Xenopus tropicalis: one gene and its partners. The protein of the gene in region 1 binds, or shares a complex with, the protein of each later gene. Links are inferred from orthologs where the notes say so. Each region holds a gene or a part of one and is shown in the gene's direction. Other genes may lie near its edges.

Region 1 (4,179 bases):
GGGGTGTCAGAAAAGTCTTACAAGTTAGAGAAGGGAAGGACATTGAGTGGAAGGAGGAATGGAGGAGAATCTCAGGTGGGGAGGGAGGGTCACTAATATCACAACTATTTTTGGATTCAGTACCACTAGGGTTGCCACCTGGCCAGTAAAATTCAAGCTTGTTATTAATAAGAACCGTTATGAATAAGAAAAAATGCTAACAATATAGGAAGGTCAGTTTTGTTTCAGAAAAGGTAGTAACCCTATGTACCTCCACATTCTGTGCTGTAGTAAAAAGTTAGCCAAATGCACATGTCAAATGTGTGTGTAAATATGTTCTGCAACATTCTGGCCTCTTTTCAACCTTTTATAAGAAATGCCAGAACAGGATATAATGCTTTCATTCACCGACACCATAATCAGTTTTTATCAGGAGTCCATTCATGGAGGAAACAGACACAAATATGTTTGCATCTTGTACCTATCTATGCTTGTGTCTTTCAATATAAAGGGAAGGTATGAATTAAAAAAGAGAAAAAAGTGATCAATATACTACATCTATTTAAAAATGCAATGATTTTAGTTAGGACTGCACATAGGTGAAGCCCTCCACCAAAAGAAAGTAAACAAATGTGTCAAATCTGTTGTGTCATCTCATGATGTCGTATTTGTAAGCAATGGAGCCCACTGAAAGGCTCATGTTTCCTCCATTACTTTATGTAACCACAAGTCAGTATAAAAGTACACTAACTACAAAGTCAATGTATAGTAATGTTGTACCACATACACCTTTGTTGCACAACAAGTCCCCATGGTGTATCTATTTAGGTTTTTACAAATATTATCCCAATTGCATAACCCTAAGGTTTGTGCAGTAAAAACATTATAATTTTATTTGGACAACACTGGTCTGTTTTAATATTGCTGCAATATCTTCTTTTTTGGATTTGATGTTATTATTATAAAACAATGTTGTACATTGTAGCGTATACAAATGTTGTGAATATACAGCATGCTTGCACAGCATTTAAGCTGCTTTTGGCTTGCAAGTTACAATAGGCCATCCTCTGATTCTAGAAGATGAGTGCCTGACTGCTCAGAAAATCCAGTCCAACCATGCTTCCCATAGGCCAGTTGGTCATTGCAGTCGCAACTCTCTCCTAATTTTCTTGAGGCCAGCTTATTTGTTTGAGGAATAGCTTACAAGGGGCAACCTTGTGGATGACCAGTAAACTCAAAACAAATGTACAGTATAAGAGGGTTGAGGGTTACATTTGTAGTTAGTTCAACGGGTGCTTCTTATTATTTCCTTGCAGGCATGGAATCAGAAAATCCTTTGTCCCCAAATGCCTAATCAGTAGTTGCTTCCATAGGCAGGAGCTGTTCTTTTCCAAACACACTCCATATTGAGTAAGAATTATGATCTTTTAAAGATCTTTACCAAAGAAGGAACATGGAATTTTATTTGTGGACTGACAACCCAATTACACAACCCATCATTCTTCTGAACACAGCAACATCCAGAACCCAGGTTGCATATTCACTGACACTATTTTTTGATATATAATCTTCTAAACTGTAGGTCTAGGTAATACTCGGGCATTTTCTCCAGCAAAAAAACAATATTCTAAAATATTCAATTGAGATGTGATTCCACTGGCAATAATGGGGTTAGTGGTGGCCAATTTTGATGCCACAATTTGGAAAAATTGGTTAAACATTCAACAATGAACATAATAATATTACAGTAGGAGAAAGCTTGAGTTTATATTGTAAATTGTGACTATTTTCTCTAGACAAGCAATATGGTGCAAAAAGTTAGATTACAAACCAGTGGAGGATAGGAAAGTTTAATATACATTGGAAAAAATACTGCACAGCAGGATTGTACCAAATTAGCTCTCTTCAGGTTCTGATTAAAATAATCCTTTAGTAAAGCAGCCTGTTGCAAATCCCATTGAAACATTTTAATCAACATGCAAGGATGACAGTAATCCTGTCTGATCTCTATAGAAAGACAGAGTTAGCATCTGCTAAGCAGTGGTGATGGCTCTTCTTACTCCACTGCCTGGCAGCGTACGGCATGGACTTGCCAGAATTAGTGGATCTCTCTTCATTCAAAATAAGACCAGAGACTGTGGAGAACAACATGCATATCAGTCAGGTATTGTGCCTTGTAACTCAGGAATAAGTGATATGTTTTGTGCTGCCAGATTTTGCAATCTGAAGTAAGGCTCAAAGCATAGCCCAGAAGTAGCCATCTTTTTACAGTTACAGTTGTAAGTTTAAATCCATGCAATGACTCCAAGCAGAGTCATTATTATGATTTGTTTGTATCTGTATGTAACATGTAGGTTTGATGTACACACCCATATATTGCAGTGCTGAAGTATAGGTTGGTGCTTTATAAATACTTGTTAATTTGTTCTTCCTAATGAATAGATTGTACTTGACAAAGGACAATTCTTTATACAAAATTTAATACAATACAGGTAATTGTCCTATTTTTTAATGTTTATATTATTAATAGGCACATCAAAGTTTGTTTCTTTTACACCCAGCTTCTGAAGCTATTATCATCTCTGGCATTCTATGGAGACAGGCACATTTAGGTCTCCATCTGTGAAAAGCCAATCTGCTTTATCCCAATAAGCTGGGAAGGAGAGGGCAGTTTTCCGAAGCTATTCACAACTGCAGTCTGCAAGATTAAAGGGGACTTCACCCTAAGCTTTTTGAAATGTAAACATAATTTTAAGCAATGTTGCAATATATAGCAATTAAAAACATATGGAACAGTTACCTAAGCCTTTGGAACAGTTACCTAAGCCTGTTCCCTGTTGTCCTGCTGATCTGGCTGTCTACTTTGACAACTCAAATAAAATGTAACAGTAGTCGACTGTCCTCAGCCTGCCTTCAACCTGCATCCTCCAAGTCCCAGAATCCACTGCACATAATGTCAATAAAGAAAGGAACATCACAGTCAGGGGCGATTCTGGACATATCGCCGCCTGAGGTGGCTCCTGGATGCCGCCCCCCCCCCGCTCCCCAGCGCTTACCTTCTGAGCGCAGGAGCGGGTCCGGGGGCAGTGAGATCGCTAGTGCAGAGAGCGCAATTGCGCTCTCTGCACTAGAAGAGCCGAATTTCCGGTTTAAAAACCGGAAATTCGGCTCTTAAAGTTACCAGGAGCTGATTTTTGCGCTTCTGCTGCCCCTGTTTACAGTACAATGCATTGTGGGTTATATAGTTCCTGCATGCTGCCTATAAGTTGTAGAGGAGTTGTTACAATTTGTAACATCAATGTTTTAGTACTTCCTTCCCTGACAGTATTTCAAATGATGCAGCACCTGAAGAACTATTTTGCAGCTGGATTTCAGCATATACAAATGGTATTTATACAAATAAATGTACTAAAATGTATTCTTATGAAATACTGCACAATAACAGAAAAAAGGACATTTAAAGCACAAATGTTGTTACTTGATATTGATTTGATGCTGCAAAGTTCTGCTCTCAAAGCTTCAGTCTTAACAAGGCAAAAATGTTTGCAAATGGTCAATGGGCTGAAAATAAAATATCTGTATATTTTCCTTTGTTTTAGGCCATGACCTACTGTCAAGCCTTCCACTACAGATGATGTTATATTTCAATGCTTTCTTTTTTCCTTTCTGGATTATATCAGAGATCATTACCATGGAACTCAAGGTAAAGTGTTTTATTATGTTCTTCTAATATGAAGATATCTAGTAGCCCTGTAGCCATACACACAAGCTATGGGGGCAAATTGATTCAGATTCAAATTTGACTTCTTGCTGCATTTTCCAAACAGTTAGCAGAGGGGGATCACTAAGCGGATTGCTTGTATTATTACAGGCATAAGTGTTTTGTAGTGTCAATTAAAACAAAAGAGCTTTACCCATTTATATTCAGGATCATCAGAGGTGCTCTGTGCTATTTGTTAAATAGGAAAAGAGAACAGAGAAGGTAAAGTCACATTATAAAATATAAAGAGTCCATAACGTCCAGAACAGATTAAAAATGTTATAGGTTTTCCCTGGTTAAAAAAATGTATCTTCACTGGTTCTTTGATATATAATTAGAAATAAAAGAATCAAAAGAAAATAATGGACATACAGTATTATGATAATAGAACAGACATTTTTTATCAATTATATTTCTCCATCTCATTCATTTCTTTTTGG
Region 2 (3,999 bases), on another chromosome or scaffold:
TCTCTTTCTATCGATCTATCAGTTTACCTTACTACACCTTCTCTCTCCCTCCTGCTGTTCTGATCAATCAGTAATCGGAACAATAGAAAGGCATTCGTAAGCCAGCCATACACGCACAGATGTTATCATCTCGTACAATATTCGGTGCGTGTATGGTGACTTGTAGAGGCGACCAATATCCCAGAGGCTGTGGATATCGGTTGAAGGCGCCATTGAAGGCGCCCGAGCAAAATCTACGTTCAGGGCTGAAGGAGGTAGAATTTCTATTGTTTCTACCTCCTTATCTGATGATTCAGCCCTGAACTTCAGCTACGTGTATGGCCACCTTTACTTGTATGCTCTCCATCCATTTGGCTTAGGGGCCACTCTTTGGAGAGCGTTCCAGATGGGCCAATGCCTGATTAGAAGATCTAGGCAGTTTGTTATACAGCCCTACACATTTTGGGGAGTGAAAGATAGCTATATCTGTGGGCCCCAGGGTCGGACTGGGGGGGGTGCAGGGCACACCAGGGCTCCCGCCCTAACCCCCCCAACCCCCCACAGGGTCCCCCACCCGACGTCCTCCCCTGAGCTCCCGTAAATTTAACGCCTCAGGGGAGGAACGGTCGGGCAGGGGGAGCGCCGGGATTTGTCCCGGTGTCCCAGCGGCCCAGTCCGACCCTGGTGGGCCCAGATAGTCAAGGGGTATGCACAGGGAGGTGCTGCTTCCCCCGCCCCCTGGAGGGTGGGAAAGAAACAATGTTTCAGGAGCCTAAACCACCTGTATAGAGGATATATAAATCCCTTGTGTAACTTCCCATGCAGTTAATTCCCTCACTGTGGGAAGTAAAGTCATAATGACGTCATTATACCCAGTAATATTCCCAGGGTGCATCAGGCCTGTAGTAAGAAGGTAGCGTGGCCGAGCGGTCTAAGGCGCTGGATTTAGGCTCCAGTCTCTCTGGAGGCGTGGGTTCGAATCCCACCGCTGCCAACTCAGCTTTTTATTTTCCCCCCTGCATCTATGGCTTGATATATTTTCGCTCGAACTGTAACTTCTTTTCGATTAGCCGCCATTGTGGAGGCTTTGCATCTATATATATGTTAGTTTGGGACAGGTTTCATAATCAGGGATGTGTCGTCGCTTTTACGACAAAGCGCTAAAACTTCCAGCTACAATAATGGCGGACTTGCCTTCTGCCCCATGTGACCGGGGCTCAGTAGGTGAATGGTCAGAATCTCCTGAATCCTGCGCGTTTTGGTTAGGACGCTGAGGGGTTGCTAGGCAACGGTAAGCGGCGGGTTTTCGGCTCGGAGATTGGAACGGGTAAGGGTTTTGTTCCAGTAAGTTACTGGTTTAACTGGTCTCTGCCCGGGGAATACTTTGTATGTGAGATATTTAATGGTTAATTTATACAGTATAAGTAGCTATAAAAGTCTGTATATATTATATGAGAGGGTTGCCGGCCTGTATATACAGTAATAGGAGTCAGGGAAGCCTGTATATATTATATGAGAGGGTTGCCGGCCTGTATATACAGTAATAGGAGTCAGGGAAGCCTGTATATATTATATGAGAGGGTTGCCGGCATGTATATACAGTAATAGGAGTCAGGGAAGCCTGTATATATTATATGAGAGGGTTGCCGGCATGTATATACAGTAATAGGAGTCAGGGAAGCCTGTATATATTATATGAGAGGGTTGCCGGCCTGTATATACAGTAATAGGGGTCAGGGAAGCCTGTATATATTATATGAGAGGGTTGCCGGCATGTATATACAGTAATAGGAGTCAGGGAAGCCTGTATATATTATATGAGAGGGTTACCGGCCTGTATATACAGTAATAGGAGTCAGGGAAGCCTGTATATATTATATGAGAGGGTTGCCGGCCTGTATATACAGTAATAGGAGTCAGGGAAGCCTGTATATATTATATGAGAGGGTTACCCGCCTGTATATACAGTAATAGGAGTCAGGGAAGCCTGTATATATTATATGAGAGGGTTGCCGGCCTGTATATACTGTAATAGGAGTCAGGGAAGCCTGGATATATTATATGAGAGGGTTGCCGGCCTGTATATACAGTAATAGGAGTCAGGGAAGCCTGGATATATTATATGAGAGGGTTACCGGCCTGTATATACAGTAATAGGAGTCAGGGAAGCCTGGATATATTATATGAGAGGGTTACCGGCCTGTATATACAGTAATAGGAGTCAGGGAAGCCTGTATATATTATATGAGAGGGTTACCGGCCTGTATATACAGTAATAGGAGTCAGGGAAGCCTGTATATATTATATGAGAGGGTTACCGGCCTGTATATACAGTAATAGGAGTCAGGGAAGCCTGTATATATTATATGAGAGGGTTGCCGGCCTGTATATACAGTAATAGGAGTCAGGGAAGCCTGTATATATTATATGAGAGGGTTACCGGCCTGTATATACAGTAATAGGAGTCAGGGAAGCCTGTATATATTATATGAGAGGGTTGCCGGCCTGTATATACAGTAATAGGAGTCAGGGAAGCCTGGATATATTATATGAGAGGGTTACCGGCCTGTATATACAGTAATAGGAGTCAGGGAAGCCTGTATATATTATATGAGAGGGTCCCTGGCCTGTATATACAGTAATAGGAGTCAGGGAAGCCTGTATATATTATATGAGAGGGTTGCCGGCCTGTATATACAGTAATAGGGGTCAGGGAAGCCTGTATATATTATATGAGAGGGTTGCCGGCATGTATATACAGTAATAGGAGTCAGGGAAGCCTGTATATATTATATGAGAGGGTTACCGGCCTGTATATACAGTAATAGGAGTCAGGGAAGCCTGTATATATTATATGAGAGGGTCCCTGGCCTGTATATACAGTAATAGGAGTCAGGGAAGCCTGTATATATTATATGAGAGGGTTGCCGGCCTGTATATACAGTAATAGGGGTCAGGGAAGCCTGTATATATTATATGAGAGGGTTGCCGGCATGTATATACAGTAATAGGAGTCAGGGAAGCCTGTATATATTATATGAGAGGGTTACCGGCCTGTATATACAGTAATAGGAGTCAGGGAAGCCTGGATATATTATATGAGAGGGTTGCCGGCCTGTATATACAGTAATAGGAGTCAGGGAAGCCTGTATATATTATATGAGAGGGTTACCCGCCTGTATATACAGTAATAGGAGTCAGGGAAGCCTGTATATATTATATGAGAGGGTTGCCGGCCTGTATATACTGTAATAGGAGTCAGGGAAGCCTGGATATATTATATGAGAGGGTTGCCGGCCTGTATATACAGTAATAGGAGTCAGGGAAGCCTGGATATATTATATGAGAGGGTTACCGGCCTGTATATACAGTAATAGGAGTCAGGGAAGCCTGTATATATTATATGAGAGGGTTACCGGCCTGTATATACAGTAATAGGAGTCAGGGAAGCCTGTATATATTATATGAGAAGGTTGCCGGCCTGTATATACAGTAATAGGAGTCAGGGAAGCCTGTATATATTATATGAGAGGGTTACCGGCCTGTATATACAGTAATAGGAGTCAGGGAAGCCTGTATATATTATAAGAGAGGGTTGCCGGCCTGTATATACAGTAATAGGAGTCAGGGAAGCCTGGATATATTATATGAGAGGGTTACCGGCCTGTATATACAGTAATAGGAGTCAGGGAAGCCTGTATATATTATATGAGAGGGTCCCTGGCCTGTATATACAGTAATAGGAGTCAGGGAAGCCTGTATATATTATATGAGAGGGTTGCCGGCCTGTATATACAGTAATAGGGGTCAGGGAAGCCTGTATATATTATATGAGAGGGTCCCTGGCCTGTATTTACAGTAATAGGAGTCAGGGAAGCCTGTATATATTATATGAGAGGGTTACCGGCCTGTATATACAGTAATAGGAGTCAGGGAAGCCTGGATATATTATATGAGAGGGTCCCTGGCCTGTATATACAGTAATAGGAGTCAGGGAAGCCTGTATATATTATATGAGAG
Region 3 (2,737 bases), on another chromosome or scaffold:
GTAACGTATTTACTTTTTCTCTCTAAAATTATGACAGTTGCTAGTAATTGATGTTAAATAAGCTAGCATAAATGTCTCTCTCATTCCTTTCTTAAAGCATGGTGCTTAATTTTATTAAAAGACCTTTTATCTAGATAATCTCAGAAGTTAAGCATTAAAAATAATAGATTTCATATGTTTAATACTAGTAGCTTAGAGCACGTATCCCTCTTGCCCTGTCTAGTAGTTTATTTGCTCCTTGATGGACAATGCACTACTGTATATGTGTGGCCTTTTGGGAGAATGAATGTATGTGAAATATATTAAAATCTATAGCTATACATTTTTATGAAGTTGCCCAATCCACTGGACATTAAAAGCACTAGGGTATATACTGATCAGATTTTAGATGAACATAAACACTGTTGAACACATCACCCACACACAATTTATATTCCATAATGTTTGGCATGTGTGAGTGACATGTGCCACCTATTTTGGCATAACTGTCTGTGCCAATTGATTTGGGCAGGAAGAATTGAGCAGTGCCAAGCAACATATGGAAGTGCAAAAAGTACCTTTCTAAGCAAGTACCTTCTTACCCAATTTTCTCATGCAACTTACTGCAAGGAAATTAGCGGCATTGCTGCTGTACTAGCAGTTGTAAATGACCCCTACCATGCTGAATGGCACATTAACTGTTCTTAGCTGCTGACGAACCATTCACTGTAAGATAATAAATATGTGTGCTGGTTTAAATGGAAGAGTTTGCAAGCCTAACGGGAAATCTTAAACTGCTCTGTATTATGGGAGCCAATGCTAAATGGTCAGTGCTTAGAGTATGGTGGACAAGGACAGTTGTAACCCTGAGGCTTTGAACACAAAAGGGTAGAAAAGGGGCTGTATGTCAAATGTGAAACATAATTAAACGTTATAATAATAAAAAAAAATATATATATATATATTCATTATATTTGTAGTGTTTGTGTGTATGTATACAGAATAGACATAAATTTCGGCAACATCATTTTTGGCAACAGATTTGTTTGTTTTGTGAGAGATTTGTGAGATATTTTTATATTTTATGCATTATTATAGTTGTTATTATTTACCTTAAAGTATTAGGCATCTTTTTGTGTTTGTTAACTTTTTAATGTTATCTGGTTGCAGTGACCACAGTTCTGAATGCCCCAAACCCCCTGTGGATTGTTGGGAGAGCTGCTTCTGATCCATTTGTAATAAAAGCTGTTATCCGGTATCCCGTGGAATCAATATCATATCCTTTAACTCTTGTACAAGTTTGAAAAGTATAATTCTTTGTGCATATGCACAGCTTCTAGAGTATTTCATATGCCTACAAGTATTAAGAAAACTATTACTTTTATATCCGGTGCTTGGGCTATTTCTGATTTCTATTTCCTGGGATTTTGTTTACTGTTTTCAATATTAGTGCCACATGTCCCTTTTGAAGATTCCTTAACATTATCCACATATGTGCCTGGATTCTGGGAAATGCTAAAATATGCATGGATTCAGTATGTCAGTATCCTTCTCATTTTCCTTTGGGTATTTGAGAGAATTAAAATATTTGTTTTTCAAAATCAAGTTTTGACTACAGTACCAGGCCCAATACCATCATTGTATAAAAGTCATCAGAGCTGATAACCAACCCCATATGATAAACTGGATCTTGGGTATGCCTTTTGAGGCCTTAAGACTTCTAATAACTTCTCTTTCTTTACTGTGATAAAGAAGTGGATTTTCAGGAACATGAGAGGAAACCTATTTGCTATGTTGGAATTATTACAGCAGGAATTTCAGACGTGTTACTGATAAACTTCAACTCCCACAAAACATGCAAATAACACTAAGCGAATTCTAAGGGTTGTAATTAAGCAAGAGGTGAAAGCTTGCCTCAACAGCCCATACATTTAATGCTATGTTTTAATAATATCTTCTTGGAAAAATGAACCTAAATGTACTTCCTTTGGTAATATTTCCTTCTTTCTGAAGAGAGTGTTGGTTTAAAAATCCAGTGGCACTGGCAGTACATTGGATTGCCGTATACTACTGGTACCACTCCATCTTAAATTTCTTCGCTCCTAGTCATTTTTTTGTGGAAGCTAGAAATTGTTTTGCAAAATATCTCAGTCTTCCCAAATATTTCAGTTATTATTAACTGAATATTTCATTTTTATTAAAGGGGACCTGTCACCCAAACATAAAAAGCTGTATAATAAAAGTCCTGTTAAAATGAAACATAAAATCCAAATTCCTTTTTTTATTAACACATCCAAACCCATTATAAAGGCATTTAAAAATTCCAGCTGTAAATCATATATTGTATTAGGCATAGAGGTGGGGCAGACAATTACTTTCACTTTCCATTCAGCACTTCGTAGATGTCACTGCCACCCTCATCACTTTCCCCCTCCCTCCTCACCATCTAACTGTGTAGCCAGTGCATGGGCATGGGCATCAGGTCCCCCATTCTGGCACATAAACAAGATTTTGTTGTTGAAGCGAAGCTTTCCTTACTAAAATAGCACCTGGCTGCTTGCTGTAGTTGTGTAAAGACTGTGTAAAGACTGAAGGAAACAGGATTTAAATAATTAAATAATTAATTACAATAATTATATTGTGTAAGTAAAGTTTATTATGCTTGACTAATCTGATAGAAAATAATTTGGAATTATTTCTTACGATGACAGGTCCCCTTTAAAGGAGAAGGAAAGATAAAAACTAAGTAAGCTTTATC
Region 4 (3,500 bases), on another chromosome or scaffold:
ACTGACTATCTGCCCCTAGCTTAAAAAGTCTTCTAGTTGTGCCTGCACCCGTAAGCACTGAATCTACCTGGGTTTAGGCATGCACAACATATCTGCATATGTTGGTGGATATTGGCTGTTTTTGCCTGTTTGTGGATTCAGTGCTTACGGGTGTGGGCACAACCAGAAGATTTTTTTAAGCATAGGGGCGGATTGTGAGCCTGTGCTTATCTGCAATGCAATGTTTTTGCCAATAATTTTGCAGGCCAATTAATTCAGTCCACAGTGAGTTATCCTTGCAGGAGAATCTGGACAAAGTGGCAGTGTAGATTCCTTTATGAAATAGGACCTAGGGGTACTTGTGGATTAGAAATGTATCTGTAGCAAGCAATGTAAGTCAGCAGCAGGAAATGTCAGAAAGGTACTAAAACTACCAATCATAAAGAGGGAATAGATACAAGAAGGGGAATAGGGACATTCTTCCCCTTTACAAAGCACTGGCAAGGCAGTTTTTGTCTCCAGTCCTTAAAAAGTATATTTGTAAAATAGAGAAAATCTAGAAGAACTGCTAATGGAAGGTTGGCCAGTTTGGACCATTTACACTAGTGAAGAGATTCTCAAGGACAAGGAAAGGCATAATGACTGGGAGTGCCAATTTTAGACAAAAAGGTTGAACTTTTGGACATGTGGCTTTTTCAGCCTCATGAATGCACTGGGAAATATTTTGAATGCATTATGGCTGGAATGGATTGTGTACCATGTTTCTGATTAGAGAAGCTCTATGTATTTACAACATATTTTCCATATCCTTTTAAAATATAGCCATTTCTCAGAGAGCAGTGGATTCTGTGGCCACTAACTCACACTAACGCAGACACTTGGACCATTATTTCCCCTATGTTCTTTGCTTTGGGATAAAGGTCTTTGATTTTGGAAAGGCTACACTAAAAACAGGGCCTGGTATATATTTCAGTTTGTGCATTAATAAATGTTGGCTTAAAGCATGAATAAGCAACCTTGGCTCTGAAGCTGTTATAGAAATCTGACACACGGCACCCAAAGTAGCTAAACTGGCAGGAGAATCTAGGGTGTTGTAGTTCTGCAACAGCTAAAGTAAAAGAGGTTGCATGTAAGCAATGTTTTTACTTTAAATTTGTTTCTTCTTCTGCTTCCTCATAGCCCCCTGCAGGTACCCTAAGAGTCTTCATTAATGGGGAAATTGGTAAGTGCATTATCACGGCGAAGGATCGTATGTGCCTAAAATGCTGTTACAGTTGGTTCATAAGCAACAGGTTTATTAGAGCACATTATAATTATTCTAATAAAAAAATTCTATATCTACTGGGGCAAAGTGTATGATGAATCTCTGTGGAATATGTGGGCGTTCCATACATACAGAATAATAATACTGCATTCCACCAAATCTGTGACTTTTGAAGAAACTTTACTAGCATTTCAGGCACATCTGGTAAACCCTTCATATTTGAAAAATAAAGTTTACAGCAGAAGTTTATAGTATGAATTTGCAGTAGGATTATATTTTCAGCATTTTAGCGCATTGCTGGTCCCTAATTTATATTGTTTTATTGATTCAGGCAGCAACATATTATTATCACTGCAAAGGAAAAGAAATACAAAAACAAAGAAAGGAAGAAGAAGAGATCTGAGGGAGGCAAATGGGAAAAACAGAAGGGTTAATAAAAGGAAGTTGAGTCATATTATTAGACACGTAACCCTTGAAGAATAAATAATAAATTTCTCAGCAACTGACCATTTTACCATATTAGATTCACCTACTGAGGTGCCTACTGCTTTCTGTGATATTGTTGCTGGCTTAGTTTGCAGCTACTATCTTGGGCTGGCCGGCCATAGACCTATTTATAAACCAACCATAGCCCTCCTGTACTGTAACAGGAAGGCAGCAGGGGTGTAACTAAGGTGGGGGCAGTCAGAAACAGCAATTCTGTATGATTTTGAGTTCCTGAGGCCCAGTCTCTGGGTCAGTAGCTCTGTTGCACAGACAGGTGACATTATGGGTAAATATGACACCACCATCTTGGAAGTTACAGCGTCCCTGGCTATTTCGTAACCAAGTTCCATCACATATCATTTGCTAATGACAAATAAATGCCCATCACTAAAAAATTGTTTGTTTATTTAAAAATGCCTGAAAATTTAAAAATGAAAACATGAAACTCTTATTGTATCTGTAATAGACAATGGGTGCTGTCCTTTTCTCTATTAATCATTTGATTTGATGTCACCCGTGCTATACAAATATAACACTATATTTTGCAGCCCCTACAACCCTGCCCATCATTAATTCACCTATTTATCTTTTTTTATTTAACAGTCTCAGCACAGGAGTTTGAGTATGATAATCTCTATGTACATTTCTTTGTGGAACTCCCTAAAAGTAAGTACTAACATGGGGTAGGGTAAGACTTCTGTGTGTAATTGAAATATCTTTCTTATTATTAAATAAAGGTGCCTAAATGAGCTTGATTCATACAGTGTTTACATTAATGTGCAGTCTGAAAAACATTGATTTTACAAAAGAGAAAACCAAGTAATTAAATTGAGAACAGAGTGGGGTGTTTGATATGTTAGGAGTAACTGAAATTGACCGCAAGTTCAAATTCGGACATTACTTACAATGCTGTGGCCACAAGAGGGCGCTGCATCAGACAATTGCAGCCAGTGCATCAAAATTGTGTTTGTGAGTCAAGATGTTGTCACTTCCAGCACTAGGGTCAAAATTACTTCTGCATTGAATTCTTTGAGTATGTCAATTGATGCAAGCCAATGTGGTGAAACCTGGCGCTACTGCTAAACGCACACAATTTACAGCAGACGGGACAGATATACATACTGTAACTGCAAGGATGAATTGTTCCAATTCTCGTGTCACTGTATCCCCATTTGCACAACCTCAACTGAGGATGTGAGTAGAAAATTAGCCCTTAAAGGGGACCTGTCACCCTATGAGATAATTCCAAATCGTTTTCTAGTGTGTTTGTCAAGCAAAATAAACTTTATTTACACTATATAAATAGTATAAATCTTGTTTCCTCCAGTCATGGAACTACACAATTACAGCATGCAGGCAGGTGCCATTTTGTGGTCGCAAGCTTTGTATCACCCCAAAATCTTGTTTATGTGCCGGAATGAGGGACCTGATACACATGCCTATGCACTGGCTAAACCTTTTAGACGGTGAGGAGGGAGGGGGAAAGTGAATGTTAATTGTCTGAACAGGCAATATTTGATTGATAGCTAGGATTTTTAAATTCCTTTAAAGTGGGTTTGGATGAATTTGGGCTTCATGTTTAATTTGAAAAAGAGTTTTATTATACAGCTTTTTTTTTTCTGGATGACAGGTCCCTTTAAGTAAACATTTTATGTAAACAAGGTGCAAATTGACAAAAGTAAGTGTAAAGTCTGCACCTTGCCCTTTATTTCTAAATCCAGCACAGGATGCAGAAGGCATATGGACTGTTAGGGGTGCAATTTTCATGTAT
Region 5 (4,147 bases), about 3.9 Mb from region 1:
TAGACCATAAACACAAGAGCAATACGGTGTGTAAAAATGCAACTTACAGAAGGTGCAAAGTACGAAATACATGGCAGACTCTGCCCACAATTTGCACTTTGCACCCTACCCTGTCCTGCACTTAGTAAATCCTGTATCCTTTTTTGTTATAGCTCTGCCTACATGTATGATGTTATTCTCCTTCATTATACAAGTTTATAACAGAATATGCAAAGCAGTCAGTTAAGCCAGTAGGGTGATAATAATGCACTCCGTTGCACTCACACACTCTTCCCTGCAGTCAGTTGTGCATTAATCTCCACTTGCAGCAAAATGTGTTCTTTGCACTTCTGTGTAATTGGCTCGGCACCACTTGGCCTTTCCTGTCTTCCTTTCTAAATAGAGCACTGCTGCAACTAATGACACGGGAACCCTGGTTTCAGGCTTCCCTTCATGCCCAGCCGCAATAAGCGCAGCACACTTGCACCTCCAGATTCGGTCACAGTGGTCACTTGAATGCGGCAGACACTGGAAATTATGCCAGCTGGACTTCAGCTCAACTGCAGCCAATTTGCAATAAAATGCACACACATTTGCATTAATTTTGCTGAATCTAATGCAATTGCGTAATCACAATAGTTTTCCAAAAAATCTCCTTCCATTATACTGAATTTAAATGTCCACAGGAGTTGTTTACTTTTAAGTTAACTTTTATTATGTAATAGAATGGCCAGTTCTAATCAGCTTTTCGTTTGGTCTTCATTTTTTTTATATTTTATAGTTTTTAATTATTTGCCTCTGTCTTATAACTTTTTCCAACTCGAATGGGGGTCACTGACCCCAGCAGCCAAAAGCCTATTGCTCACTTATCATGCTATTCAGGGGTCTCTCCTATTTATCCTGGGGTAATTTGGACCCTAGCAACCAGATGCAGAAATTCCAAACAGGATTGCTGCTGAACAAAGAGCTAAGTAATTGAAAAACAAAGACCAATAGCAATTTTTCTCCGAAAATCACTCTCTACACCATACTGAAAGTTATTTTATAGGTAACCAACCCATTCAAATGACATCTCTGTGCATCATTGCTCTAGTGGTACATGTATTCCGTGCTGGCAACAGCAACAGAGATATCGTTTCCCTCATTGGTAATATGAAGCATATCATACTATATATAGTAATATAATAACATGGGTGTCCAGCATGAACCCCAAAGAAAACCAGGCAACGCAAATCACTACACTGCGAGAAGGCAATTTCCCTTAAAACCTAAGTTGCGAATCTTTCCGCTCCCAGGGTCTGGTCCATATGATTAATAGACAATACGTCACTTCCTGGATCCCGCAAGTCGCTAGGGTTGTTTACAGCAACTGTAGGCAGGCTGCCGCTATGTAAGCCTTTATGTATCCGCCATGAATTCCCTATGGAGCTGCAGCTTTGCGCTCTTTTGTTGTTGCGTGGTTTTGGGGACTTGCAGCCTCGCTACCGAGAGCCCTAAGGAGACTGCCCGCACCGAACCAACTGAGACCCAGGCCTGGGACAGTACGGGGGGTCCTCTGCTTCCTGACCATGTGACAGACAACCAGACCTCTGAGGGCAAAGCGGAGTCTCACTATAATGATAGCGATACCTTACCTGTGGCTACAAATACACCTGAGCCTCTGAGCCCAACCAAGAGTAGGTAGCATGGGGGGTTGGCTGCCTAAGCCTGGTTAAAGGGAATCACAAACTCTTTACCACTTATTGTATTGTTTAAATGTCATTTTTGTTAATGGAAAAAGGCAGTAGTCTAGTAGGAATGTACTAAATCCATATCAAAACCTGAGCCAAATCAGAACTCTAATTTGTATGAATATACGTTCAACCCATTATTACATGTTGCAAGGTTGTTTTTTTTTGACAATGGAAAAATGAAAAAATGTTTTACTCATATCAAATAGCTATATGTATATAAGTTCAGCCCTGCTTAAATTTTTCCTCTAGTTGTCTGTTTCAAAGTTACTTCAAAATATTCTCCTAGCTGCTACTGTTGGTTCAGTAATATTCATCCAGCATTTGGGGTTACCAGGTTATAGTTCTACATATTTGTGTGAGTAGGGCTATCAGCCTAATGTGACTGCTATTTTTGTCTTGCTTTATTAAGTTAACAGGGTGGTTTGTGTTTGTGACCTGCTGGTTGCCCACTGTGATGACAACTGTTGCTGCGATCCTGACTGCAATGCTGCAGATATTCGTGGATGCCTGGCCAATGAAATGCCTGCAGAGACAGCCTATACAGAACCACCTGAAATCCAGGTGTTGGAGGGTGCAGAGGAAGACGTCCCACCTGAAAACAACACAGACCATAGAGGAGTTGAGGATTCAGAAGTCATTGATATTGGAGTCATAGCTTCTCCAGGGGATGAGTTAACAAGAAGCTTTGGTTCTGCTGACCAACCTGGTGCTCGAGTTCTTCCCTCTCCAGTCACCAACAGTAAGTATAAATGAAAATCTTCATAGAAGTAAGTAACATGATGCACTACTGCGTCTGGCAATGCCCATTTAATTGATCCATTTCTCTAGTGATGGGAGCATTAAAACTACTTTCTATCATTACTGTAAATAATTGAAAATGTTAAAGCTTTTAAAGAGAACTAAACCCTACCCTATTCTCAGCCCCCTCCACCCCCTCCATTGCCCCCCTTCAAGCTACCTCCCCACAAGAGTTATTCTGTTAAGTTTTTCAGTGATTTCTTATTGCTAGGGTATTATTTACTCTAATAACCAGTCAGTGGTTTGACTAGGAGACTGGAAGATGAATAGGATAGGACCCGTTATCCAAAAAGCACCAAATTATGGGAAGGCTACCTCCCATAGACTCTATTTTAATCAAAAAAATTCAAATTTTTAAAAATAATTTCCTTTTCTCTGTAATAATCAAACAGTACCTTGTACTTGATCCCAACTAAGATATTAAAAGGGGTGTTTGCCTATGATATAGAGAGTAATATTCTGAGACAATTTGCAATTCATTTTTTATTATTTGTAGTTTTTTAGTTATTTCACTTTTTGTTCAGCAGCTCTACAGTTTGGAGTTTCAGCAGCTATCTGGTTGCTAGGGTCCAAATTACCTTTAACATACAAAACGTTTACTAAATAGTCAACCAACCCTTTACTAATCCTTACTGGAGTCAAAACAATTTTATTGGGTTTATGTAATGTTTAAATGATTTTTAGTAGACTTAAGGTATGGAGATCCAAATTATGGAAACACCCCTTATCCAGAAAAGCCCAGGTTCCGAGCATTCTGGTTGACAGGCCCATTCCTTTGTAAAGAACATTAATAAAAAGTAATAATAACAATAAAATAGTAAATTTGCAGAGCAATCATTTTAGGCTGCTGGGTTCAGTGACCCCCATTTGAAAGACTGCACGTATTTGCATGCAGATATTTGTATAGACTATCCACTTCAGCGTGAGTATAACTAAGATTAATCTTCTTTCTGAGTTAGAGTAAAGTAATTTTCCACAGAGGGATTTCAGGTGCCACCAGCCAATAAGTAGTCAGGAGGGACTGCACACACACGCAGTTCAGCATAAATCATTATAATGCTCAATCACCGTCTATACTCGAGTATAAGCCAATCCGAATATAAGCCGAGGTACCTAATTTTACCTAAGAAAACTGGAAAAACGTATTGACTCGAGTATAAGCCTAGGGAATGCAGCAGCTACTGTTAAGTTTTATCAAAATAAATACCAATAAAATTACATTAAATGAGGCATCAGTGGGGTATATGTTTTTAAATATTTATTTCAAATAAAAACTGTAAATTAGCTCTGTAAGTGGAGGGTCAACAAAAACAATTGTTTTATCAACAATGATACCTTAAGAGTACTCAGCAACCAAGCTAAAACACAAAGAGTTAAAATCCTTCAAAACTATATATAGTTTATATAGAATATAAAGTGAAATGTCTAGTGCAGAATGGGACAGGTAAGGATGGTAGATGAAGATAAATTTGGGAGCGGGCCACAAAGGACAGAGGGTGCTAGTTTGGAGGGACCCATGGCACCCGACTCGAGTATAAGCCGAGGGTGACTTTTTGAGCACATTTTTGGTGCTGAAAAACTAGGCTTCCAGTGTTTCCTCTCAGATTTTTTGAAAGGGCCATTGGTGTGGTGTCATT
Region 6 (3,500 bases), on another chromosome or scaffold:
TTACATTATATAGGATACATTTCTCTTCTACAGATTTTTAGGATATAGATAACCTCAGTTTAAAGTTGTTCAATTTGAAAGGCAAAGTTCAAATATTAGAATGTATTTTTTCTTGTTTTTAAAACAGGTGGCACAGCTATCCTCTGGTAGCAGAGATTCACGTTTTTTGCGTGAAGAAATTAGACAGCTGGAGGAGCAGTTGCGTCAGAGTGAGAGAGAATGCAAAGATATGGCAAATGAGTTGGAAAGGGAGAAACAAGTTAATGAACAAGTAAGTTATATCAATGACCACCTTCCTTTCATTTGTGTCGGTATATTTTGTGAAGCTAAACAGTGTTGTTATTGGAAGATACTAGGTCGTGTGAACAAAAATAAAGTACATTTTTGTAAATGTTTTTTTAGCTTGGAGACAAAAAGTTTTGTATTGTTCCTGTCTAACTGTAATGTTTTCATACCAAAGCAGATCCCATTTGACAGTGAGATGTAGTTCCCACATTACTACTATCTCAGTCTGGTACTTTTATTATTACTGTGATGTCCTGTGATGTGATTTTTTAGTGTTACTGTTCCTTTAAAAGATCAGAACCCAGGAAAACTTCCCTTTTGACAGTGTGTTCATTGTGCCACTAATTTTTACTAACTGTTACATTTTATTCCATTTTTCTATTGCCAGAGCCTTTAGAATGAATCTTTCTCGCTCACAATTACTGCATCAGTTGCATGCCAATCCAATTTGATTTCTGGTGTGGAACTTGACATTCTATACACCCTAACATTGAAGGGCTCTATAAAAATATATTGCATACAACAGCTTATATGTAAACCTCTGCTTCAGCTAAATAAACCATTTTAATAAAAATATACTAATTTAGTAGTATGTGCTATTGGTTAATCCTATTTTAAGTATTAAGGACCAACCTCATGGTCCGTACTATTCAGGGTGCACACAGATAAACCATGGGTACACATACATGTTCATTCTTATGAGCCAATTAATGAACAAAGTCCTGTGTTTTGCTCCTACACTTCTTCCTGTACAGTTACAGTTAGAGCACCATTATTTCTGATAAGGCGAACTCTAAAGAAGCACAAAGATCATCACAAAATAGTGGTTCAAGGTATATTCCAGTTTGGTAAGATTCTATAATAGGCCTCTTTATATGATATAAACCAGTCGGTTGGTTAATCATCTGTTCTGAAGGCATCGTTTTCTAAATATCACCACCTGGAAATTCCCCTAAGGAAAAGAGCACAAAATGTACATTTAAACAAAAAAGAAACTGATCAGCAGTGAAGGAGCAAATCACATTTTGGGGCATATTTATTCTAGTGTGTAAGCCAACATCACTGGTGATGTGACCCATAGCAAGCAATCAGATCTTTGCTTTTGTTTTCTAACTTAAATGTAATTGCTAATTGGTTGCTATGGGCAATATCACCGGTGATGTTGGCTTACACATTACAATAAATATGCCCTTACGTTTGCATTTGAAAGACCATAAAGAGCATGGTTAATGTGTAAGCCAATTGCAACTTTACTGTGGTGTAATTTCTAAAATGCTTTTGAGGAAAAAATATATTTGTGTAACAATAATGCTTTAGTGCTGTTATTACTGAGATGCATGTAACAATTTTTGTGCCAGAATATAACCATATTTGCAAGTCAAATGTTATCAGAGAATGACTATTAACAATAGGTAATGTGTGGATTTTTTCCTGCAAGCGTCATTGCAGCAGCAAGCGGGAATTGCCCTGGTGCAGTTGCTTTTGATCTGGCAAAATTAGCACAACTGCACATGCATTTTCTCAGAGATAAAATGCAATTGCATGGAAGTTCGCTTGGCATAATTTCCGATGTACGGTGTGAGTAACGCATGCCCAATTCTTTGGGAGCAAGTGTGCTCCTTCTATTGGTGCAGGGTATGAAGGGAACCCTGGAGCTACTGCCTGGTCAGAAGGTGGCAGTAGCTCCAGTGTTCTCCCTGCGTGACTGGGTGCAGCAGTGCCTGATTCAGAATGGAAAGCAGGGAGGACTGAGCAGCACTAAGCACAACTATATGGAATTGTAAAGAGTGCATTTTGATGCAAGTAGGGTCTGCGTAACAATGAAAATAAAAAGTTAAAATGAAAGTTATAAATCCAGCTATTTCATTATTCACTCTTTTAGCTTGCCCTCCGAAATGAAGAAACTGATAATGAAAACAGCAAGTTAAGAAGAGAGGTAGGTGCTGATTAATTCTTAATTTGTGTGTGCTTGTTTGTTGAAAACCCAGCAGGATATTATTGTTTGCTTAGATAGTACTTAAGTGGTTTGAAAAAAATAATCAAATTCATTATTGTTCATTTTTAATAGAAATTTTTTGGAAATGACTGCTTCATTTCATTGTTTTTTGGATAATGGGTTTCTGTATGATTCTTATCTATATTTTTCTCCAAATAATGTTTGTTTTCCAACAGCTAAATGCTACTTGCTTATTGGTAGCTATGAGCAACGAGACCAGTACAAACTTTACACCTTCTGTTAAATTACACTGATAACGTTCAAACGTGGAATCATATAACAGAGCATAACACTGGTGCAGAAAAGGCAGGATTCTGTTAAATGTATTGATTGCAAACAAGAATGGAATGTGACCGAAATGTTTAAAATAAATCAGTATTTACCAAAAAGAAAAAATATCCTGTGTTCATAGCAAGGTTTTTTTTTCCCCAAAGTGCCTCAACCACTGTTAGTTGAACTCAGACCAATTTAATAAATATTTCACTTGCAGTCTCCCTGGCAATTTTTTTTTTCCGCTTTCCAGCTGTACTGTTTCTTCTTCTCCTTGCTGGACAGAAGGCTTACTCCCAGCCCCACCCCTTATTCACAGGTGATGATCGCAGCTGTGGTTGTCCTTAATAAATAAGCCCTCGTAGGGCATAAACACTGCAAAATGAGCTTATATTTTATATTTTACCACGTAAATGTCGAGCATTGTAGTTGATAAAGTGGCAGCCAGTTAGTATGCACTGTTTTCGTGTCTGAGTCTCAGAGTCAGACATTCTGTTGAGGTACAAAAATAATATTGAAATACAGTTATGGGACCTGTTATCCAGAATGCTCGCGACCTGGGGCTTTCCGGATAAGAATTCTTTCCGTAATTTGGATCTCCATACCATAAGTCTGCTAAAAATCATTTAAATATTGAATAAACCCAACAGGATTGTTTTGCCTCCAATACGGATTAATTATATCTTAGTTGGGATCAAGTACAAGGTACTGTTTAATTATTACTGAGAAAAAGGAAATAATCAGAATTATTTGCTTATAATGGAGTCTATGGGAGATGGCCTTTCCATAATTTGGAACTTTCTGGATAATGGGTTTCCAGATAAGGGATCCTATACTTGTACCTGTATTGCTCAGTCAATGGATATAGTTAGTAAACACAGTTATCAAGAGATATATCCATCATCAGATCAGGTGAGACATGACAATTTTAGGTGAAAATGATGTCCAT
Region 7 (4,224 bases), on another chromosome or scaffold:
AGGGTGGGATCAAGGTGGGGATCAGGGTGGGGATTAAGAAGGAAACAGGGTGGGAAAAGGGTGGGGATCAGGGTGGGAAAAGGGTGGGATCAGGGTGGGGATCAAGGTGGGGATCAAGAAGGAAACAGGGTGGGAAAAGGGTGGGGATCAGGGTGGGGATCAGGGTGGGGATCAAGAAGGAAACAGGGTGGGAAAAGGGTGGGGATCAGGGTGGGAAAAGGGTGGGATCAGGGTGGGGATCAAGGTGGGGATCAAGAAGGAAACAGGGTGGGAAAAGGGTGGGGATCAGGGTGGGAAAAGGGTGGGGATCAGGGTGGGAAAAGGGTGGGGATCAGGGTGGAAAAAGGGTGGGATCAGGGTGGGATCAAGGTGGGGATCAAGGTGGGGATCAAGAAGGAAACAGGGTGGGAAAAGGGTGGGGATCAGGGTGGGAAAATGGTGGGATCAGGGTGGAAAAAGGGTGGGATCAGGGTGGGATCAAGGTGGGGATCAGGGTGGGAAAAGGGTGGGATCAGGGTGAGGATCAAGGTGGGGATCAAGAAGGAAACAGGGTGGGAAAAGGGTGGGGATCAGGGTGGGAAAATGGTGGGATCAGGGTGGGAAAAGGGTGGGGATCAGGGTGGGGATCAAGGTGGGGATCAAGAAGGAAACAGGGTGGGAAAAGGGTGGGGATCACGGTGGGGATCAGTGACCTGTAACTCCGCCCATGTGTTACTAAAAGTAAATATAAAGGGGAAGTTGACCCTTTATTGGGCTATGGGTTCTATAATGAAGTAACTGTGAGTAACATAATTAGGTGAGTAGCAGTGAGACGAGGAAACCGTGGGTGGGAACATCCGGCTCTTGAAGCGAGGGTCTCGCATCTCAGCCCCAATTAATAACGACTGCGCATCACTACTGAGAGACAGCAGCATCGGCCCCCAACTCTCCCACCCTCGCTCCTCTACTGCCCCCCGTGCAGTCATTAGTGCTCATACTGCCTCTTGTGTTTGGAATAACCTCTTCAGTGTTATAAAGGGTTGTCTCCATCTTGCCCTACTGTCTCCATCTTGCCCTACTGTCTCCATCTTGCCCTACTGTCTCCATCTTGCCCTACTGTCCCCATCTTGCCCTACTGTCTCCATCTTGCCCTACTGTCCCCATCTTGCCCTACTGTCCCCATCTTGCCCTACTGTCCCCATCTTGCCCTACTGTCTCCATCTTGCCCTACTGTCCCCATCTTGCCCTACTGTCCCCATCTTGCCCTACTGTCCCCATCTTGCCCTACTGTCTCCATCTTGCCCTACTGTCTCCCTGGGCAGAGGAGCTAGCAATCTAATTTGGCTGCAGGTACACTCTCCATTGAACAGTTCCCAGAAGCCCAGCCAGTCCCAGTTATTTAGTGGCCCTGAATGTTAGGGGGGAAGGCGCTAGGACCCCGCGGCGCACAGGCGGCTCAGGGGGTCACGTGTTGCGGAGGTTTCCAGGGAGTGACGTCACAGGCGTCCTTAGAGCAGCAAGATGGCGCCCAAAGGTAAGCGGGAGGCGAAGCAGCGGATGGAAGAGCGGCCCCCCTGCTCCCTGTAATGGCGCCTGTAAGCGTGGGGCTACTGTGTCCCCTATGCAAGAGGTGCAGCTGATCAGCGGGACTACAACTCCCAGCATCCCCTGCACCCGATGCCGCTACGCTGTCCCCTTACCTGCTGCATAGGGACCCGCACCGCTAGTGTGCAACTACAACTGGGGGGGGGGGGGGGGGGCTGTTAGACCACAATTCCCGGCATCCCCAGAGAAGCAGCGACTTCTCCCTGTTACCCACAATAGCGCACATTCCCCGGGCAGGTGGGTATATTATGGGCAGGTGGGTATATTATGGGCAGGTAAGTGGGTATATTATGGGCAGGTGGGTATATTATGGGCAGGTGGGTATATTACGGGCAGGCGGGTGGGTATATTACGGGCAGGTATGTGGGTATATTACGGGCAGGCGGGTGGGTATATTACGGGCAGGCGGGTGGGTATATTACGGGCAGGCGGGTGGGAATATTACGGGCAGGCGGGTGGGTATATTACGGGCAGGTATGTGGGTATATTACGGCAGGCGGGTGGGTATATTACGGGCAGGCGGGTGGGTATATTACGGGCAGGCGGGTTGGTATATTACGGGCAGGTATGTGGGTATATTACGGGCAGGCGGGTGGGTATATTACGGGCAGGCGGGTGGGTATATTACGGGCAGGTATGTGGGTATATTACGGGCAGGCAGGTGGGTATATTACGGGCAGGCGGGTGGGTATATTACGGGCAGGCGGGTGGGTATATTACGGGCAGGTATGTGGGTATATTACGGGCAGGCGGGTTGGGGTATATTACGGGCAGGCGGGTGGGTATATTACGGGCAGGCGGGTGGGTAATATTACGGGCAGGGGGTGGGAATATTACGGGCAGCGGTGGGTATATTACGGGCAGGCGGGTGGGTATATTGAGGGCAGGCGGGTGGGTATATTACGGGCAGGCGGGTGGGTATATTACGGGCAGGCGGGTGGGTATATTACGGGCAGGTATGTGGGTATATTATGGGCAGGCGGGTGGGTATATTACGGGCAGGCGGGTGGGAATATTACGGGCAGGCGGGTGGGTATATTATGGGCAGGCGGGTGGGTATATTACGGGCAGGCGGGTGGGAATATTACGGGCAGGCGGGTGGGTATATTATGGGCAGGCAGGTGGGTATATTACGGGCAGGTGGGTATATTACGGGCAGGCAGGTGGGTATATTACGGGCAGGCGGGTGGGAATATTACGGGCAGGCGGGTGGGTATATTACGGGCAGGCGGGTGGATATATTACGGGCAGGCGGGTGGGTATATTACGGGCAGGTATGTGGGTATATTATGGGCACCTACAGGGGGAGACCAAACATGGCTGCTCTGAGTGCTGGGAGGGGCCCCCGGCCCCCACTGGGTCTTCTGCTTGGTATCATGTGACTTGTGCTGCCCCCTAACTGTGCGTTTGCTTCCCAGGGAGAAGGCGCGGAGTTGTATCCTTGGCACTTACATAGGTGAGACGGTACCAAGTCACCTGTACAGGTATAGCCTGGCCCCGCCCACTGCTTCTTATATTCCTTTAACAATTCATGGGGGTACATTACCCCTTATAATACATGAGTGATACTCAGAGTTCCCTGTATAACTCAGCCTGCAGCCTTGTGCCTTTATATGGGGGGCACAGAACCCCTCAGTGACTGCTAATATCCTTATCATTTACAGTAGGGGGTACATTATCCCTTATAATACATGAGTGATACTCAGAGTTCCCTGTATAACTCAGCCTGCAGCCTTGTGCCTTTATATGGGGGGCACAGAACCCCTCAGTGACTGCTAATATCCTTATCATTTACAGTAGGGGGTACATTATCCCTTATAATACATGAGTGATACTCAGAGTTCCCTGTATAACTCAGCCTGCAGCCTTGTGCCTTTATATGGGCACAGAACCCCTCAGTGACTGCTAATATCCTTATCATTTACAGTAGGGGGTACATTATCCCTTATAATACATGAGTGATACTCAGAGTTCCCTGTATAACTCAGCCTGCAGCCTTGTGCCTTTATATGGGGGGCACAGAACCCCTCAGTGACTGCTAATATCCTTATCATTTACAGTAGGGGGTACATTATCCCTTATAATACATGAGTGATACTCAGAGTTCCCTGTATAACTCAGCCTGCAGCCTTGTGCCTTTATATGGGGGGCACAGAACCCCTCAGTGACTGCTAATATCCTTATCATTTACAGTAGGGGGTACATTATCCCTTATAATACATGAGTGATACTCAGAGTTCCCTGTATAACTCAGCCTGCAGCCTTGTGCCTTTATATGGGGGGCACAGAACCCCTCAGTGACTGCTAATATCCTTATCATTTACAGTAGGGGGTACAGTATCCCTATAATACATGAGTGATACTCAGAGTTCCCTGTATAACTCAGCCTGCAGCCTTGTGCCTTTATATGGGGGGCACAGAACCCCTCAGTGACTGCTAATATCCTTATCATTTACAGTAGGGGGTACAGTATCCCTTATAATACATGAGTGATACTCAGAGTTCCCTGTATAACTCAGCCTGCAGCCTTGTGCCTTTATATGGGGGGCACAGAACCCCTCAGTGACTGCTAATATCCTTATCATTTACAGTAGGGGGTACAGTATCCCTATAATACATGAGTGATACTCAGAGTGGGAT

The links.
Region 2: tmem17 (region 1) and tmem107 share a complex: the UniProt entries of both Homo sapiens proteins name them as parts of the tectonic-like complex. The link is inferred for Xenopus tropicalis from reciprocal best matches to the Homo sapiens genes TMEM17 and TMEM107.
Region 3: tmem17 (region 1) and tmem231 share a complex: the UniProt entries of both Homo sapiens proteins name them as parts of the tectonic-like complex. The link is inferred for Xenopus tropicalis from reciprocal best matches to the Homo sapiens genes TMEM17 and TMEM231.
Region 4: tmem17 (region 1) and mks1 share a complex: the UniProt entries of both Homo sapiens proteins name them as parts of the tectonic-like complex. The link is inferred for Xenopus tropicalis from reciprocal best matches to the Homo sapiens genes TMEM17 and MKS1.
Region 5: tmem17 (region 1) and tctn1 share a complex: the UniProt entries of both Homo sapiens proteins name them as parts of the tectonic-like complex. The link is inferred for Xenopus tropicalis from reciprocal best matches to the Homo sapiens genes TMEM17 and TCTN1.
Region 6: tmem17 (region 1) and cep290 share a complex: the UniProt entries of both Homo sapiens proteins name them as parts of the tectonic-like complex. The link is inferred for Xenopus tropicalis from reciprocal best matches to the Homo sapiens genes TMEM17 and CEP290.
Region 7: tmem17 (region 1) and tmem216 share a complex: the UniProt entries of both Homo sapiens proteins name them as parts of the tectonic-like complex. The link is inferred for Xenopus tropicalis from reciprocal best matches to the Homo sapiens genes TMEM17 and TMEM216.

What each region holds. Positions count from the first base shown.
Region 1 is NC_030677.2:166,773,548-166,777,726, forward strand, and holds the start of tmem17 (transmembrane protein 17B), read left to right. Parts: upstream 1-1,379; 5' UTR 1,380-2,025; coding exon 2,026-2,143; intron 2,144-3,578; coding exon 3,579-3,682; intron 3,683-4,179. UniProt on the Homo sapiens protein: Transmembrane component of the tectonic-like complex, a complex localized at the transition zone of primary cilia and acting as a barrier that prevents diffusion of transmembrane proteins between the cilia and plasma membranes.
Region 2 is NC_030679.2:144,535,902-144,539,900, reverse strand, and holds the start of tmem107 (transmembrane protein 107), read left to right. Parts: upstream 1-1,199; 5' UTR 1,200-1,306; exon of another isoform or gene 1,307-1,323; intron 1,324-3,999. UniProt on the Homo sapiens protein: Plays a role in cilia formation and embryonic patterning. Requires for normal Sonic hedgehog (Shh) signaling in the neural tube and acts in combination with GLI2 and GLI3 to pattern ventral and intermediate neuronal cell types.
Region 3 is NC_030680.2:64,234,200-64,236,936, reverse strand, and holds the end of tmem231 (transmembrane protein 231), read left to right. Parts: intron 1-1,149; coding exon 1,150-1,255; intron 1,256-1,469; coding exon 1,470-1,641; 3' UTR 1,642-2,237; downstream 2,238-2,737. UniProt on the Homo sapiens protein: Transmembrane component of the tectonic-like complex, a complex localized at the transition zone of primary cilia and acting as a barrier that prevents diffusion of transmembrane proteins between the cilia and plasma membranes.
Region 4 is NC_030678.2:41,742,356-41,745,855, forward strand, and holds part of mks1 (Meckel syndrome type 1 protein), read left to right. Parts: intron 1-1,158; coding exon 1,159-1,201; intron 1,202-2,332; coding exon 2,333-2,395; intron 2,396-3,500. UniProt on the Homo sapiens protein: Component of the tectonic-like complex, a complex localized at the transition zone of primary cilia and acting as a barrier that prevents diffusion of transmembrane proteins between the cilia and plasma membranes.
Region 5 is NC_030677.2:162,883,776-162,887,922, forward strand, and holds the start of tctn1 (tectonic-1 precursor), read left to right. Parts: upstream 1-1,347; 5' UTR 1,348-1,390; coding exon 1,391-1,655; intron 1,656-2,121; coding exon 2,122-2,451; intron 2,452-4,147. UniProt on the Homo sapiens protein: Component of the tectonic-like complex, a complex localized at the transition zone of primary cilia and acting as a barrier that prevents diffusion of transmembrane proteins between the cilia and plasma membranes.
Region 6 is NC_030679.2:54,382,020-54,385,519, reverse strand, and holds part of cep290 (centrosomal protein of 290 kDa), read left to right. Parts: intron 1-127; coding exon 128-271; intron 272-2,167; coding exon 2,168-2,221; intron 2,222-3,500. UniProt on the Homo sapiens protein: Involved in early and late steps in cilia formation. Its association with CCP110 is required for inhibition of primary cilia formation by CCP110.
Region 7 is NC_030678.2:178,905,790-178,910,013, forward strand, and holds the start of tmem216 (transmembrane protein 216), read left to right. Parts: upstream 1-1,424; 5' UTR 1,425-1,500; coding exon 1,501-1,513; intron 1,514-3,002; coding exon 3,003-3,019; intron 3,020-4,224. UniProt on the Homo sapiens protein: Part of the tectonic-like complex which is required for tissue-specific ciliogenesis and may regulate ciliary membrane composition.